Linked DNA regions of Styela clava. The protein of the gene in region 1 purifies or fractionates together with the protein of each later gene. This does not show direct contact. Links are inferred from orthologs where the notes say so. Each region holds a gene or a part of one and is shown in the gene's direction. Other genes may lie near its edges. The genes, in order: UBX domain-containing protein 6-like and tether containing UBX domain for GLUT4-like.

Evidence for each region.
Region 2: the proteins of UBX domain-containing protein 6-like (region 1) and tether containing UBX domain for GLUT4-like purify together in Homo sapiens (affinity purification with mass spectrometry; 4 studies listed by BioGRID and IntAct, counting the BioPlex papers as one, with this or other methods). This does not show direct contact. The link is inferred for Styela clava from reciprocal best matches to the Homo sapiens genes UBXN6 and ASPSCR1.

Annotation. Positions count from the first base shown.
Region 1 is NC_135254.1:13,395,366-13,403,575, forward strand, and holds UBX domain-containing protein 6-like, read left to right. Parts: upstream 1-5,005; 5' UTR 5,006-5,081; coding exon 5,082-6,374; 3' UTR 6,375-7,920; downstream 7,921-8,210. UniProt on the Homo sapiens protein: May negatively regulate the ATPase activity of VCP, an ATP-driven segregase that associates with different cofactors to control a wide variety of cellular processes.
Region 2 is NC_135260.1:3,079,322-3,086,422, reverse strand, and holds tether containing UBX domain for GLUT4-like, read left to right. Parts: upstream 1-4,020; 5' UTR 4,021-4,059; coding exon 4,060-5,653; intron 5,654-6,070; coding exon 6,071-6,234; 3' UTR 6,235-6,816; downstream 6,817-7,101. UniProt on the Homo sapiens protein: Tethering protein that sequesters GLUT4-containing vesicles in the cytoplasm in the absence of insulin. Modulates the amount of GLUT4 that is available at the cell surface. Enhances VCP methylation catalyzed by VCPKMT.

The DNA of each region.
Region 1 (8,210 bases):
AGTAGATCAAATGGCCATTTCCCGTTAACCTGTCCATTGAGTACAGAGCCATGAATATACAGTAGAAGCGCTACCCACGAAATTAATTCGTTCCGAAGACCCGTCGTATTACATAAGGCGTTTTACCTATGTAAATGCCCTAATCCGTTTTAAGTCCACGTAAAACTCGGACATCATTTTCGTATAAATTATATTAATGCTTAAAATCCAACAACTACATGTTAGAATTAGATTACAGCATAATAAATAAACAAAGAACATACGGAAAGAAGGAAGAACATAGTAATAACGAATAAAAACTAAGAACGGTATGCTTATGTACCTTTGTTTACCATCGTCATAATCAAATGATTGATTCCCAAATTACCGTCCGCCACTGATGGAGAATTAAGACCTGAAAACTTGTTTTATTTTTTAAGTCGGTTTTTACTTGATTTGAGTCGGCGCTAATCTTTCATGTCTGGTGTTATTATTTTAATTTTGCTTATTGATATCGCCAACTTAAAGTGAACGATATTTTCATCAACGACGTCGGGATAATGATAAAATCCGCGTTAGATATTAAATAACATTTAAAGGTCATTTTATAAACTCTTAATTGTAAGAAATGAAAAAAATTCCTGTTATGTTCGGTCACTATCGAAATTGAGGGTGAAAACAATTAATTGCGACACAATTTGCTTTCAGATTTATTGGAATAGACGATAATAATTGTGAATATTGTGTAATAATTGTAATTGCGCTTTTTGAATTTCTTTCATGCTGGCCATAATTTAGTGCCACGACGCGCACGGCTGATTTCAATTGCGATAAAAAATAGAATGGCTGCGAATATTTTTTTTTAAATCGAAAGTTTGACGGCGCTAGGAAATGTGCGTCATATTCGGTATTCTCAAAAACACCAAAAAAACGATATTCGAAGGTCGCAATATTCAAATATTAGGTTTGTATTGAACATCCCTGCATTAAATTAATCTAAAATGAACAAATATCACTATGCAAGTTTTCGGAAAAGAATTGTTGGATTTTTCGTATCTAGAGCCTTTCGTACGGAGAGTTTCTACTGTATACAAGTTTTTCGTGATATTTTTTGCTTCCATTTTTTTTGTGATTGGCGAATAAAAAACGATTGGTTGATTGATTCATGTGAAAACTTCATTTGGGAATTGAAAGTTTCTTCATACGTTTACAGTGATCGTAGCGGCTGCTATCGATCGTATCGTCGTTTCTTCCAACGTCTTAGTACGGTGTGCCATACTTCCTTTAGCTCTTTAATACAGTTTCCCAGTCTTTCAAATTCTGAGATATTTTTTAACAACAGCATTAAACGGTTCGGCGACATACATATTCGACATAACAAATGAAGCGCCATAAGTGTCAAATCGTTACTAATCTTGATGACGCCACCTCATCTGTTAAGGTTGACAATACTATTCTGATTTAGGCTGCTGATGTACTGGGTTAAGGCTGCACGTTCACCGAAGGTGACCCAAAGATACCAGCATAAGTTACTACTGAGGTTTTACGGAAGGTAGTGCTATATGGAGTGAGAGGGGGTGTTACGAGGTTGTAGTGTAAACCAATAAAATGAAATATGACAAGATTTCGCTTTAATTTATATAAATTTACGATTCCGTTGATTTTAACATAAGTTAGGGGAATTTCCCAACTTTCCGCACGGTGGAATATTTTTAAAATTTAATATTCGTTTTATATATCACCATCAAATACACTGTATTAATGAACTGGATGAGAAAATATTCTTTCTTGGATAAATTACGCTTTAACTGAGTTAAATAGACGATTTCTTAAATATTTTCATTAAATTGAGGGGAATTTCCCTACTTTCCGCACGGTGGATTTTTTTTAAAGTTTAATATGTATTTTATATTTGTCCACCAAATACACTGTATTAATGAATTGGATGAGAAAATATTCTTTCTTGCATAAATTATTTTTTAACTGAGTTGGATAGACGATTTCTTAAATATTTTCATTAAATTGAGGGGAATTTCCCTACTTTCCGCACGGTGGATTTTTTTTAAATTTTAATATGTATTTTATATTTGTCCACCAAATATACCGTATTATTGAATTGGATGAGAAAATATTCTTTCTTGGATAAATTACGCTTTAACTGAGTTAAATAGACGATTTCTCAAATATTTTCATCAAATTGGGGGGAATTTCCCTACTTTCCGCACGGTGTATTTTTTTTAAATTTTAATATGTATTTTATATTCGTCCACCAAATACACTGTATTAATGAATTGGATGAGAAAATATTCTTTCCTGCATAAATTATTTTTTAACTGAGTTGGATGGACGATTTCTCAAATATTTCCATTAAATTGGGGGGAATTTCCCTACTTTCCGCACGGTGGATTTTTTTTAAATTTTAATATGTATTTTATATCTGTCCACCAAATACATTGTATTAATGAACTTGATGAGAAAATATTTTTTCCTGCATAAATAATGCTTTAACTGAGTTGGAAAGACGATTTCTTAAATATTTCCATTAAATTGGGGGGAATTTCCCCACTTTCCGCACGGTGGATTTTTTTCAAATTTTAATATGTATTTTATATTCGTCCACCAAATACACTGTATCAATAAATTGGATGAGAAAAAATTAATTTTTGCATAAATGGGTTATTCCCTGCGCTCCCAAAAGCGTACAATCTAGATTCTAAATCTGAACCTATCCTGGTACACCTTTTATTTTCAGGTTGTGCGTCATCTTTGTGTCCATATTTCGAGAGTACCGAATTTCGCTACTTTCCGCATGGTGGATTTTTTTTTAACTTTTATTATGTATTTTATGTTTGTCCACCAAACACACTGCATTAATGGATTGGATGAGAAAAAATTCCTTCTTACCTAAATTACGCGTTAACTGAGTCAAATTGACGATTTCTTATATATTTTTTTTAATTGAGGGGGAATTCCCTACTTTCCGCACGGTGGATTTTTTTTAAATTTTAATATGTATTTTATATTTGTCCACCAAACACACTGCATTAATGAATTGGATGAGAAAAAATTCCTTCTTACCTAAATTACGCTTTAATTGAGTTAAATTGCCGATTTCTTATATTTTTTTCTTCAATTGGGGGGAATTTCCCTACTTTCCGCACGGTGGATTTTTTTTAAATTATAATATGTATTTTATATTTGTCCACCAAAAACACTGCATTAATGAATTGGATGAGAAAAAACTCCTTCTTACCTAAATTACGCTTTAACTGAGTCAAATTGACAATTTCTTATATTTTTTTCTTCAATTGAGGGGAATTTCCCTACTTTCCGCACGGTGGATTTTTTTCAAATTTTAATATGTATTTTATATTTGTCCACCAAATACACTGTATCAATGAATTGGATGAGAAAATATTTTTTCTTGCATAAATTATTTTTTAACTGAGTTGGATAGACGATTTCTTAAATATTTTCATCAAATTGAGGGGAATTTCCCTACTTTCCGCACGGTGGATTTTTTTTAAATTTTAATATGTATTTTATATTTGTCCACCAAATACACCGTATTAATGAATTGGATGAGAAAATATTCTTTCTTGAATAAATTATTTTTTAACTGAGTTGGATAGACGATTTCTTAAATTTTTTCATTAAATTGAGGGGAATTTCCCTACTTTCCGCACGGTGGATTTTTTTTAAATTTTGATATCTATTTTATATTTGTCCACCAAACACACTGCATTAATGAATTGGATGAGAAAAAATTCCTTCTTACCTAAATTACGCTTTAACTGAGTCAAATTGACGATTTCTTATATTTTTTTCTTCAATTGAGGGGAATTTCCCTACTTTCCGCACGGTGGATTTTTTTTAAATTTCAATATGTATTTTATATTTGTCCACCAAATATATTGTATAAATGAATTGGATGAGAAAATATTCTTTCTTGCATAAATTATGCTTTAACTGAGTTGGATAGACGATTTCTTAAATATTTTCATTAAATTGAGGGGAATTTCCCTACTTTCCGCACGGTGGATTTTTTTTAAATTTCGATATCTATTTTATATTTGTCCACCAAACACATTGCATCAATGAATTGGATGAGAAAAAATTCCTTCTCACCTAAATTATGCTTTAACTGAGTTAAATTAGAGATTTCCTATATTTTTTTCTTAAACTGGGGGGAATTTTTCTACTTTCCGCAAGGTGGATTTTTTTAAAATTTTAATATGTATTTTATATTTGTCCACCAAATTCACTGTATTAATGAATTGGATGAGAAAATATTATTTCCTGCATAAATGACGCTTTAACTGAGTTATATTGACAATTTCTTAAAAATTTTCCTTCAATTGGGGGGTATTTCCCAACTTTCCGCATAGTGGAATTGTTTTAAAATTTAATATATGTTTTATATATCTTCATCAAATTCACTGTATTAATGAATTGGATGAGAAAAAATTATTTCTTGCATAAATTACGCTTCAACTCAGTTGAATTTTAGATTTTGTCGATAAATGAGCTTCTGAGCAATAATTCATTTTATCGAGGAAAAAATGTGTTGTTTCAATCATTTTTGTTTTTTATTATGTTTCAGGTCTGTTGTCAGTTTCTAAAAGGGAGAATCACCTAATTTTTTTGCATCCATGTAGCCTCAATTAAGTGAATTCGCGACAACGCGAATTCGTGGAACATGGCGGGTTCAAATTTGGAAAAATTGGTAACTGTCCGCTGTAAGTGGCCGCTAGCTTTACCTAGGTAGTTGTAGGAACATGTGAAAAGATAATCCTGTAAGGATGGTAGGATGGTGTGTTTATGCATTATGCTCAGGGACTCTTCTGACCTTACATCCTTAAAGCCTTTAGACGGTAATAAGAAAAAACTTCCAGAAATAAAGAAATCTTTATTCATAATCTAAGTTAGCACTTTCTGAACACAGTAATCATATCATCTTTTCCACACAAAGTGCTAAATAAAATTGTGAAGAGGGAAAAGATATTAAATTGAATGATTTACATACATTTTGTGATGGCTTTAATGATGATGTTTAAACTTTCTCTGCTACAGTTTTCTGTTGAACTAGGCCTATAGGAACCATGAAAAAATTTTTCCAGAAAGTCAAACTGGAAACTAAATTTCGAAGTGCAGGAGAGGGTCATAAACTTACTGACGAGTCAGGCCATGGGGTGCAGGAAAGTTCGAGATCTACACAACCTGTTCCTGTACGAGCAAATCCTATGTCAGAATCTCAAGCTAATGCAGCTATTGCGGCAATTGAAAGAAATGAAAAATGTAAGCAAACGACATCTACATCATCGTCAAAAATAATAAAAAGATTGGCAAAAGAAGCTGCGAGAGCTTCTGAAGATAATAAAGTGCCCAAGTCTGAACCTCTCAATGCTGATGCAGCAGAAGATTTTGTACCTGAACAATACTCAGTTGAAGGTGTTAAATTTATTTCTGCCTTATCTGGAGAGATCATGCAAGAAAAAGAACTTAATGCACATTACAAAGAAAGTTTCTTACTGAAGCTAGGTTCAGATGAAGCCATTGATGCTTCGTGTAGTATGATACGGACATTGAATAAAGATAAATCGAAGATTGAAATTGCAGTAAAAACCATAAGCAAATATATTGACAACATCATTGCAAATCCTGATGAGGAGAAATACAGAAAAATAAGGAAAGAAAATAAAGCATTTTCAGAAAGAGTTGCTCCTTTGGATGGAACAGAAGAGTTCTTAAATGCAGTCGGCTTCAAATTGACAATGGTGTCATCAGATGAAAAAGAAGAATTATATTTTGTACTGCCCAATGATATTAACATTGAAAATCTTAAATATGCAAAAGATTGTTTATTGGCTTCACAGCCACTCATAACAAAACTCCACAGAGACATGAAAATTTTTCAACCTTCTGATCGGTCTCTCACTTTCAATCTACCTAACTCGTTTTACAATTTAACATTGGAAGAAGTTCGGAGAGAACAGGGACTAAAAACAGAAGAGATTGAACTTAGTAAACAATTACGAACAAAACAAATGCGCGAAAAATCAAGGCAGACTAGAAAATATATTTATGCTTTGATTAGAATTCGGTTTCCTGAAGGGTACATTTTACAAGGAACGTTTGCAGTGAACGAAAAATTTGCTGAGGTGAGGGCATTCATAAGTGAGAATATAAATGTTGATTGGGCACCTTATACTTTAAAAACATCAACAGGGCAAACAATTGATCAGGATCACGAAACACTGTCTGCGCTTCAGCTCATACCATCTGTTATCTTGAATTTGAGTTGGATTGCAGAAGTACAGGCTCAATTGAATGAACAAGGTGTTACACTTTCTCTAAAAGATGAGGTTTTACAAAAACAGGAAGAATTGAACTGACAATTGTCATTCGGGTGAGAAAATTTCTCGATAAAATTTATATTTCACCATGCAAGTGGAAGCCTAATTTGACATCATGTGAATGTATTATTCGAGCTCAAATTGACACCATTCAATTTTGTATTTTTGTTTGGCATGATTAGCTTATTTTTAAAAGCAAGCATTAAAAAAGCATGTAGGGTGTTTACTTTTGTTTCATATTGTCTCTGTCAGTGTATGATTCATTGTGTTCTTATTATGCGAAGGTTGTTATCACTTATCAGATTACAGAATATGACAATTGGTCAATATTGTAATCCACTTACGGTACTTTAAATATAAAGTGGTCAACTACTTGTTCAAGAGCGTCAAATTTGCTAACAATAAAACACTTGCAATTGATGTCAGTGACATGGATATCATGAGCTAGATCTTAGGACAATAAATACCTGTTGAAAATTTATATGGATATTCATATAGCTCATGGTATTCCAATTGAATTGGTAATGTAATTTTTTTTGTAGCAATAACCTGTTTCGATGTCAAAATATGAAATTAAAGCATAGCAAATCACAGTGTGCCATTTTATCTCATTTTTATTCATAAAAAGTTTGAATATTGATAGATAGATATAATATTGTTACCCTGAAATGAGGATAAGAATGCTATCATATTTCTCTGCATTGACAACGCCTATCTAATATTTAGGCAACAGGCAGTCGAATATCTATTGAGTGTGGTATTCACTGTAGTTATATGAATTCTCAGGCCCATGATTTCATCTCGTAGGTAAAATGGTTGATACATTTTCCAGTCACTTGTGTAAGTGAGGAGACCATTTTGTAATATATCAATTAGCACTTTTAATTTTGAAATATGTGTTCTCACACATTTTTAGTCAGAAGTAAAAAACACCACAACAATTGTGTTGAGTTATCCTGAATATATTTAAACTTATATAATAATTCCGATATATTTATGAATTGTTCATTTTTAAAGTATTTATTGCAGTAATGATTTATGTAATAATGCCAATAATTGCCAGTGTTAATTTGTTGTTTCTCTCTCATGTTATTGTGCTTGAAATCGCATTTAGAATTAGTTGAAAATGTCATGTGGAGAACGGAAGGCAAAGCTTACCAACATGAACCGAAGTCTGTGAGGATGAGGAAGGGAAGAACAATCTAAGCAGCTCTTATGATTTTTTATTTGCTGAATAATTACGGCTGAATAGTCGATAAATATCAAATTTATTTTTTATCTCATTATTTATCTCGTTTAAAACTTGGCCCTGATCACCACACCCGTTGAAATCAGTTTTGGAGTGCAGCAACTACGTCTAGCTATGATGCCTCACCTTTAGTCCGTTTTTTTTTTATGTGCGCAAAGCCAGCTCGCATATCGAAATGATTAAATTTGAATATAGAATACAACTTCTCTTCGCTGTAAATAAATGTAAACATCACAAAGTAAATGCGACGTGCTAAGAAAAGTTTGGGGACCTGCAATATATCTTGCTTGTATAGTTTAATATATTTCGTGTGTCGAAATAATTGAAGCAACTCTGTCATACTGACTTATTGAGAGCGATGGCCAGGTTAAGAAAGAAGGTAATTAGTTATCGTCATTTTTCAAAATTTAGCTCTAGTAGGGTCGCGAACCCAAAACTCGAACGTGAAACCGTAGGCGCCGGGGGAGTTTACGGATCAGAGTTTGGTACGGATAAAATCGATTCGCCCTTCGTAACCAATGGACCAATCGATTTTTAGTTCGGAAGTATTTGCCGGAAAGCTATAACGGTACTATTACGATTTTTCGAATTTGATCCGATATTTAATTTACGGGAATACTCTTTTG
Region 2 (7,101 bases), on another chromosome or scaffold:
ATTTCGAACTGCTTACCATTATTAACGAGGCAAGGGCCGCGACGCGAGCTCAAAAGTTTGGGAAGCCCTGATCCATGGAACGTGAAGTTGTCGCCCAGCTGACCGTTCAATATCGCGTCACCATCGGCTTAAATCGTACTAACTGGAGAGGGATAGTGGCATTTTCGATAACTGTCGGCCTAGCTTTTTGACTGTTAAGTTCATTATCAAGTTTACAGCAATCGTTTTGGTTTTTCTATGGGCAAACGAGTAGACCTAAAGAAAAAGGGCAAAGGGGTCAACTCTTCTTCCTCCATCTTTGCCTGGTTTTACTTTGAAATGCTGAAAAAATTACTCATTTTCGCTAAACTCTATTAAGTAAAATTGATAAAGAAAAAGTTGTCAAATGCGCGGCGAAAACTAACAGAATTGTGTTAGAATACTTTATTATGATTGAATATTTTACATGTTGCATTTATTATTAATGTTTTATTGTTTCCTAATTTAAATGGTGTGTATATAAATCAATAAATTCATTTTACCATTCTATGTCGTTTACTCTCCATTACGTAGTGTTGGCCTCTAATGTTACGTCCAATGGAGATTTCGCTGCATTTATCTACTCTTTTTTGGTGTTCCGCGAGGCGAGATAAAAAGTGGAAGTGTTGCGTGGCCGAAAATGTTTGGGAAACGCTGGCTTACCGTATCTGACCGACATCTCTGAATCTATGGTGAAAATTGCATGATGGTATATAAAAATCTATCGAACCCTATGACACGTGCATAATTAAGTGGTTTACATCCTGTCGCTACTTTCAATCTGATATGAAATCGCTTAATTTGTCATGCACGCAATGTATGGTGGTCGGGGATTATTGGACAATAAGGCTAAATTCGTTTTACATATAGATTGCTGGAGGCACAAGACCTCCGGTTACCAGTTTGGGCTGCCAATCGGACCCGGAATTGACGTCTGGCGTCCCTGGCTGGGCTACGGTCGTCCCGAATTTACTGACAACAACAAATTTTTCCTGTTTCAGTGATTTATGCCTCAAATATTTAACATTTAATAGGTTTCCTTGATTATGCAAAAAATATTTAGAGGCGTGTAGTTTCTGAAAATAACGCTGCACGATCATCACTATTTCACGCGCAGCTCACACTGTTGCTTTTGATGTCTTTGGTATTTCACAAGCTTCTGTTGCATCAAATTTGAATTCTAGACATTAAGGTGTCCCGGAAAGATTTAACATCAAGTTGGAAATCCTATTGCCAGTCCATGTGGGATATGGAAGTAATAGGCCTAATTTATTCGTTCGAGAATCATGGACTTGATGTGGAGCAAGCCGTAACCCAGGGGTCAGCAACCTACGGCCCGCGGAGCACTATAATCCGGCCCGCGACGCTTCACTAAATTACAGTAACAAAACATCCGTTTTGACGAATATATTCTTTAGACTAAATTATATTATTACCTAACAATTATATAATTCACAATTACTCGTTTAATGAGCATATAATTTAATTTTAATTAGGCAAATGGCAACAAAACGCAGAAAAGTTTATGCTAAGTGCAAAGGGTTCAATGGCGCTGAAAATATTCGAATGATTTTTTTCAAAATATTTTATGAGATGCAATGATGAAATAAATCTATATTCTATTCGAGAGATGTATCACTGCTTAATTTTTATTATAAAAAGTACCATCCGATCGGATTTTCAACTTTCTGAAAAGATGTGCGGCCCGCTAATGACTTGCAACCTTAATTTGACCCGCGAGCGACAAAAGGTTGCCGACCCCTGGCGTAACCGATTCGTGCCACCCTGCAGCGGCGAGGGTAATTAAGCAGTGTAATCACAGATGCGCTGGCGAGCAACTTCATGCACAAATGGACATACTTCATGGAGATACTGACATATGGAATTTAATGGTAAATGTATCTGGACTGAATTATTCAATATTTGTCTTATCTTTTCATTGTATATTTATTCATTGTATAAAATCACCTAAATTACATCACAAAAATAAAAATTTGGACCTCATGCAATAATATTGAAATATATAATTGGATACACCAAAACTATCATTTGTATAAATCCGATTTGGCAATGGATTTAAATTTGGCAAAAAAAAAAAAAAAAAAAAAGATGGCGAGCATCTTTATAACGCCAAGTAAGATACGCCACGCCGCTCCTTTGGCGTGTTGAACCGAGAATCAAAAGTAAGCTTATGGTCGCGCCAATCACCCTGTTGCATGGAGTACCAATCCAACGTCAGATAATTATTTTCGAGAAAATTGCCGTCTTGTCACCGCAAAATTAGTCGCTGGTCCAAGTCAATGCATTTAAATAGTATGCAGAACCTGCCGAAACTAATGCAGGGCGGACGCATTTCCTTTATGTATTTAAAATTACGTCACACGAGAACTACGTAATTAATCTACCGGCGTTCCGTTTAAAACTAATGCATGGCATATAAAGCATCGTGGGCGTGGATCAGAATTCCCTGGTGCGTGAGCCGTGATTGCGTACCGGTACAGTGTAAGTCGTGTTATTTTCTAGGGATTTCCCTCCGTTTTGAAACATATAGAGGTACACGTCGGCGCCGACAATAATGAGCAAACGTATGATTTATCCCAAGTTACGCTGAAAATAAAATACCCCATTCCCTCCTTGCGCGATATTTGTATTATTCAATAGATGACTCGACAGTTTTCAGATGACTCAGTATATTTCTCGGTGCAGCTGTGAGACCATTTCACAGATTTTGAAGACCGTACCTGTATGTTTGTGCAGCTTTGCCTGACAAAAGGCTTTGGCGGTAGGAGAGTGTACCTGCAGATCTGACAATCTTTATTGGTACCCGTACTTTTCGTGACAAGGAAAACAATTTTTGACTAGAAAGGAGTTCTAAAATCTACCTGTAAAAACTATAAGCTCAAGTCAATTTCACTATAGGGGTGGTGACTCATTTACGGCCTATCTAATTGGGCAACATGAGCCGTGGCCCATCAGAAAAAAAATCAATTATCTTACCAAAATTTCCAATTTTATAAAATTATCAATATTCATACCAAAAAAATCGCGGGATGCCACCAAATTTTTTTTTACGATACCAGTAAGCCTTAACTTATATAAAAATAAAGCAAAATACCAAGCTACATACAGACATACAGAAAAGGATACTCCTGTAGTATGTGTACCGGTACCAGGTTAGGGTTAGGACAAAATGTTGTTCAGATGTTTCACATTATAGTTCTATTACGAGTTGGGGACTGTCTGTGTTAGCCAAGTGAATAGTCCCTTCACACAACTTGATGGGCCGCGGCCCATAGCCTGATGGGCCGAGGCCTAATTCGATGGGTCGTAGCCCCGGCCCATGGGCCGTAGAGGAGTCACCACTTCCACAGAACTGTATTTTCACTATTTGATTTGCAAGAAACTTAGTTAGAATTTAGAACTGTGCTGTCTATATATCCAGATATCCCTGATGAAGACAAGTCAGTCAACTTTAAATCCTTAGTTCTGTATCGTCAGAATGAGGTCCCGTGTAGTTTCATAACCATTTTTCCATATGTTATTCCTACCTGACTACATCATCCAAAAATCCCCTAGAAGTTATTGTGGTTCGAGACCCCTGATGTGTTAGTATTTTTGATGAAAGATTCAATTGTTTTATTTTTAAAAAGCATTTTCAATCTTGGTGTTTGACAGCCTAATCATATGGCGAACTCAAGCTTCTCGTCCAGTTACCAGTCCAAGTCGGGTATGGCTGTATGGGTTTACTTAGTCAGTTATATGTTTCAGATGCATGATCTTGATGGTAGAGGAAGCCCTAATCTACCAGCAGTAACATGAAAAACCTTACAACCCTAAGGTGACGAGGAGTCCAGCAATGCACTCGCACATAATTATCTCCGACAGGATTTGAACCTGAGAACCCACACAGCATAATCAGAGGTGCGGTGACGTGCGTATTCCTAACGCTTAGCCTGACAGCACGATGAGCCACGCCGCGCCAATTGTTGATACAAATAGAAATTAATTTTCAGATTTAGGTATATTTTTTGATACCAGATAATGTCTTTGAATTTGTCGATTTTGTATCCAAACGGCCGTCGCAAAAATGTAAAAGTTTCACCGAACGTAGTAATACTGCAAACTTTGGAAGATGTATGCAAACGAGAGAAACTGGACGCAGAAACTTTTTCGTTTTTATTTCAAAGAAAAATATTGGATGAATCGTTGTCATGGAGATATGCAAATGTACCAAATAATGCAAAGCTTGAACTTTTAAAACAGGAAAAAGTGAAGCAAGAATCTCCTGTAAGAATTGCATTGCAATTTGAGGGAGGGAACAGAGTACAGCATTCATTTTTACCGTCTGTAACATTGTCTGACATCTTGCAACACTGGGAAAGTGAACTTTCAACTTTGACCCCACCAGAAGGTCATGAACCTAGTATTTTGTATGTTAGGCAAGAAATAACAGGAAATTTTAAACTTTCAAAAACGACCCTAAAAAGTTTGGGTCTAACGAGTGGAAGCGCGATATTACGATTGTCGTATAAATTGGTAGCGGAAAATGAACCTATAGAAAAACCTTCTGAGAAAGAGGCATCTCTGCCAAAAGCTGAAATACCAGCTCAACAACCCCAGAAAATACAGGAAAGAAATGTTCTCAAACCGCCCGTTAAGTCGGAAAGCAATGAAGGCATGATGATAACTGAAGAGATGTTACAGAACGCACTGGAACAAACATACGCTACGCCTGAATCTCTCGGAGTAAATTCCGCCAGAAATAATGATTCTGTAGAGTCCATGGAGGTTGATCTGTCAACTTCTTCTTCAAAAACAGAATTTTTTGACGCCGTCGGCAATTCTTCTGCGGAAAGTTTGAAAAATGGTCGTGCTAGACCAAGACGTGTTCACTCGAATGAAACTGCCCCGAAAAAAAAAGTTAAACAGACACCATCAGAAAGTCCGCAACCTGATTTTTCTGAGTTTAAATTTCCAAAAGAAAGTGAAGGGATGGATGTGTATTCTACTGAAAATGAGGAAAATGAAATCGACGTTCGCCCTCTGATGACACCGTGTGACCGAGAACCTATATTCTTCAACGAACAAGAATTGCAAAGCGCTGAAATAAATACGGACGATCCAGGCGATGAATTTTTCGAACTCACAATTGACGACATGAGAAAAATGCTATCGGAGTTGCGTTATTTACAAAATGATTCAGAGGAAAAGCCCCTTCTTACAGCCCGGTCTCGAGAAATACAAAGATTCCGATCTATTAACCAATATCCTAAGATAGTTGTAAGAATCGTCTTCCCCGATCAAAGCGTGCTACAAGGAATCTTCCGTCCCGCAGAACCAGTGCAATCTCTTTACGATTTTGTGTCAAATTTTATATCATCCCCCGCAACGGACTTTTATTTATATACCACCCCACCAAAGGTCATTCTCAAAGACAAAAAATCAATTTTGTACGATAATCATCTCGTCCCGGCTTCCAAGGTATATTTTGGGATGAAAAATCACGATTTTGAACCTAAAATTTTGTCGTCAGATATTGGGAAATGTAGAGGAACAGCAATTGAAGCAAATTTAAAACTTCGCTCTGTTTTTGAATTGAAGTCTCCAACAGTCTCTGCTTCAAACTCTGCGCAAGGTGAGACGAGAAGAATATTTTGAATCAGCTATTGGCAGTGTGGCACATCGTGCTCAGCATTAAGTATTCGCAGACCACTGCACCTCTGATTACCGACATAGTGAATGCACTATTCTAATTGATTCAAGAGTTTTGCTGCACACTAAAAACACAAATGTATTTTTGTAATGTTTTGTCTGACCAAAGTTCGATATTTTTTTGCTTTTTCCATATCAAAAAGAAGGGTGATTAAGGGTTCTGACTCGCCAATCTCCCTGGGTATACCACTATCCATCACTCAACCTAAGTTTTATCTTTTCGAAAATTCGTACAGAGCTATTATGTGCATAATGGAAGCGCCACATTTATTCGATGGATTGTTTTTTTCTTTAAATATGCATATTTGTTCCTATTCAACTCAATTTCTTTTTTTTACAGAATTTACCAAAGCAACAAGCCAGCGTGGTCATTCATCATCAAGTGTTCCGGACAGCGAAACTCCGTCCACGAGTCGGCAAACCGGTTCAAGTCAAACTTCTTCGAACAATGCTAGTGGCGCTCGACCTAAAGTTCCTAAATGGTTCAAATTAGGAAAAAAGTAAATCGAGCTAGCTTTATATGATCGTTTCCATGAATCTTGACCCGATAATAGTTCTAAAAACTCACTGACCTTTGCCTCTTGAGTCTGCAGGCAAGCGAGTCAGTAGTTGTTTCTTCATTTCCAGTAAATATTTCGTTGATTCACAAGTGCTAGCTAACTCGCTCGAATCAAACATATAGGGTGTCCATAAAGTCTCGAATTTTCCAAAATTGCAAAGGGAATTCATTGATACCATAAATCGTTTTGGTCTTCACAGATATATTAAATAAGGTAGAAATACTTGAATAAGAATATATAAGAACTGACTTCATAACAAAATTGAAATTGTAAAGAGACTGAGGACCCTGTATAAGAAAAAAATTTAACCTTCTTCTCGATCAAGTTTTGAATTTGGCTCTATTTAGGATTAAGTTGAAAATTTAATTTTGGATTAAAGGGATTTTCCATCACCTGAGTTAAAACCATATTCCGTTGTGCAATACTATTTGCTGGTAATATTGGGTTATTTCTCTGCACTGAGCATTCATTGATTCAAACTACTATTTTCTGAGAATTCTTTAATATATAACTATTCGCAAGTTCATTAAGTTCCTTTTTTGTTCTACGTATGATCTTTTGCAGCTTTGAGTTGGGATGGCTTACAAGAAACAGGCCTGTCAAGTAAGGTATTACTTCAGAAACCTTTCAGTGATAAATTACTTCAGAAACCTTTCAGTGATAAATTTGTGCAAGAATTCGCCTGATTTGGCCAGAACTGATTTACAATATTATTGACTTTGCTCCAGAGATAAACATAAAAATGCTGTCAAAATATATAATTCAAAAATTTATTTCCGAAGAAGGGTTTTATGTGTAGTTTTTGTAAGAT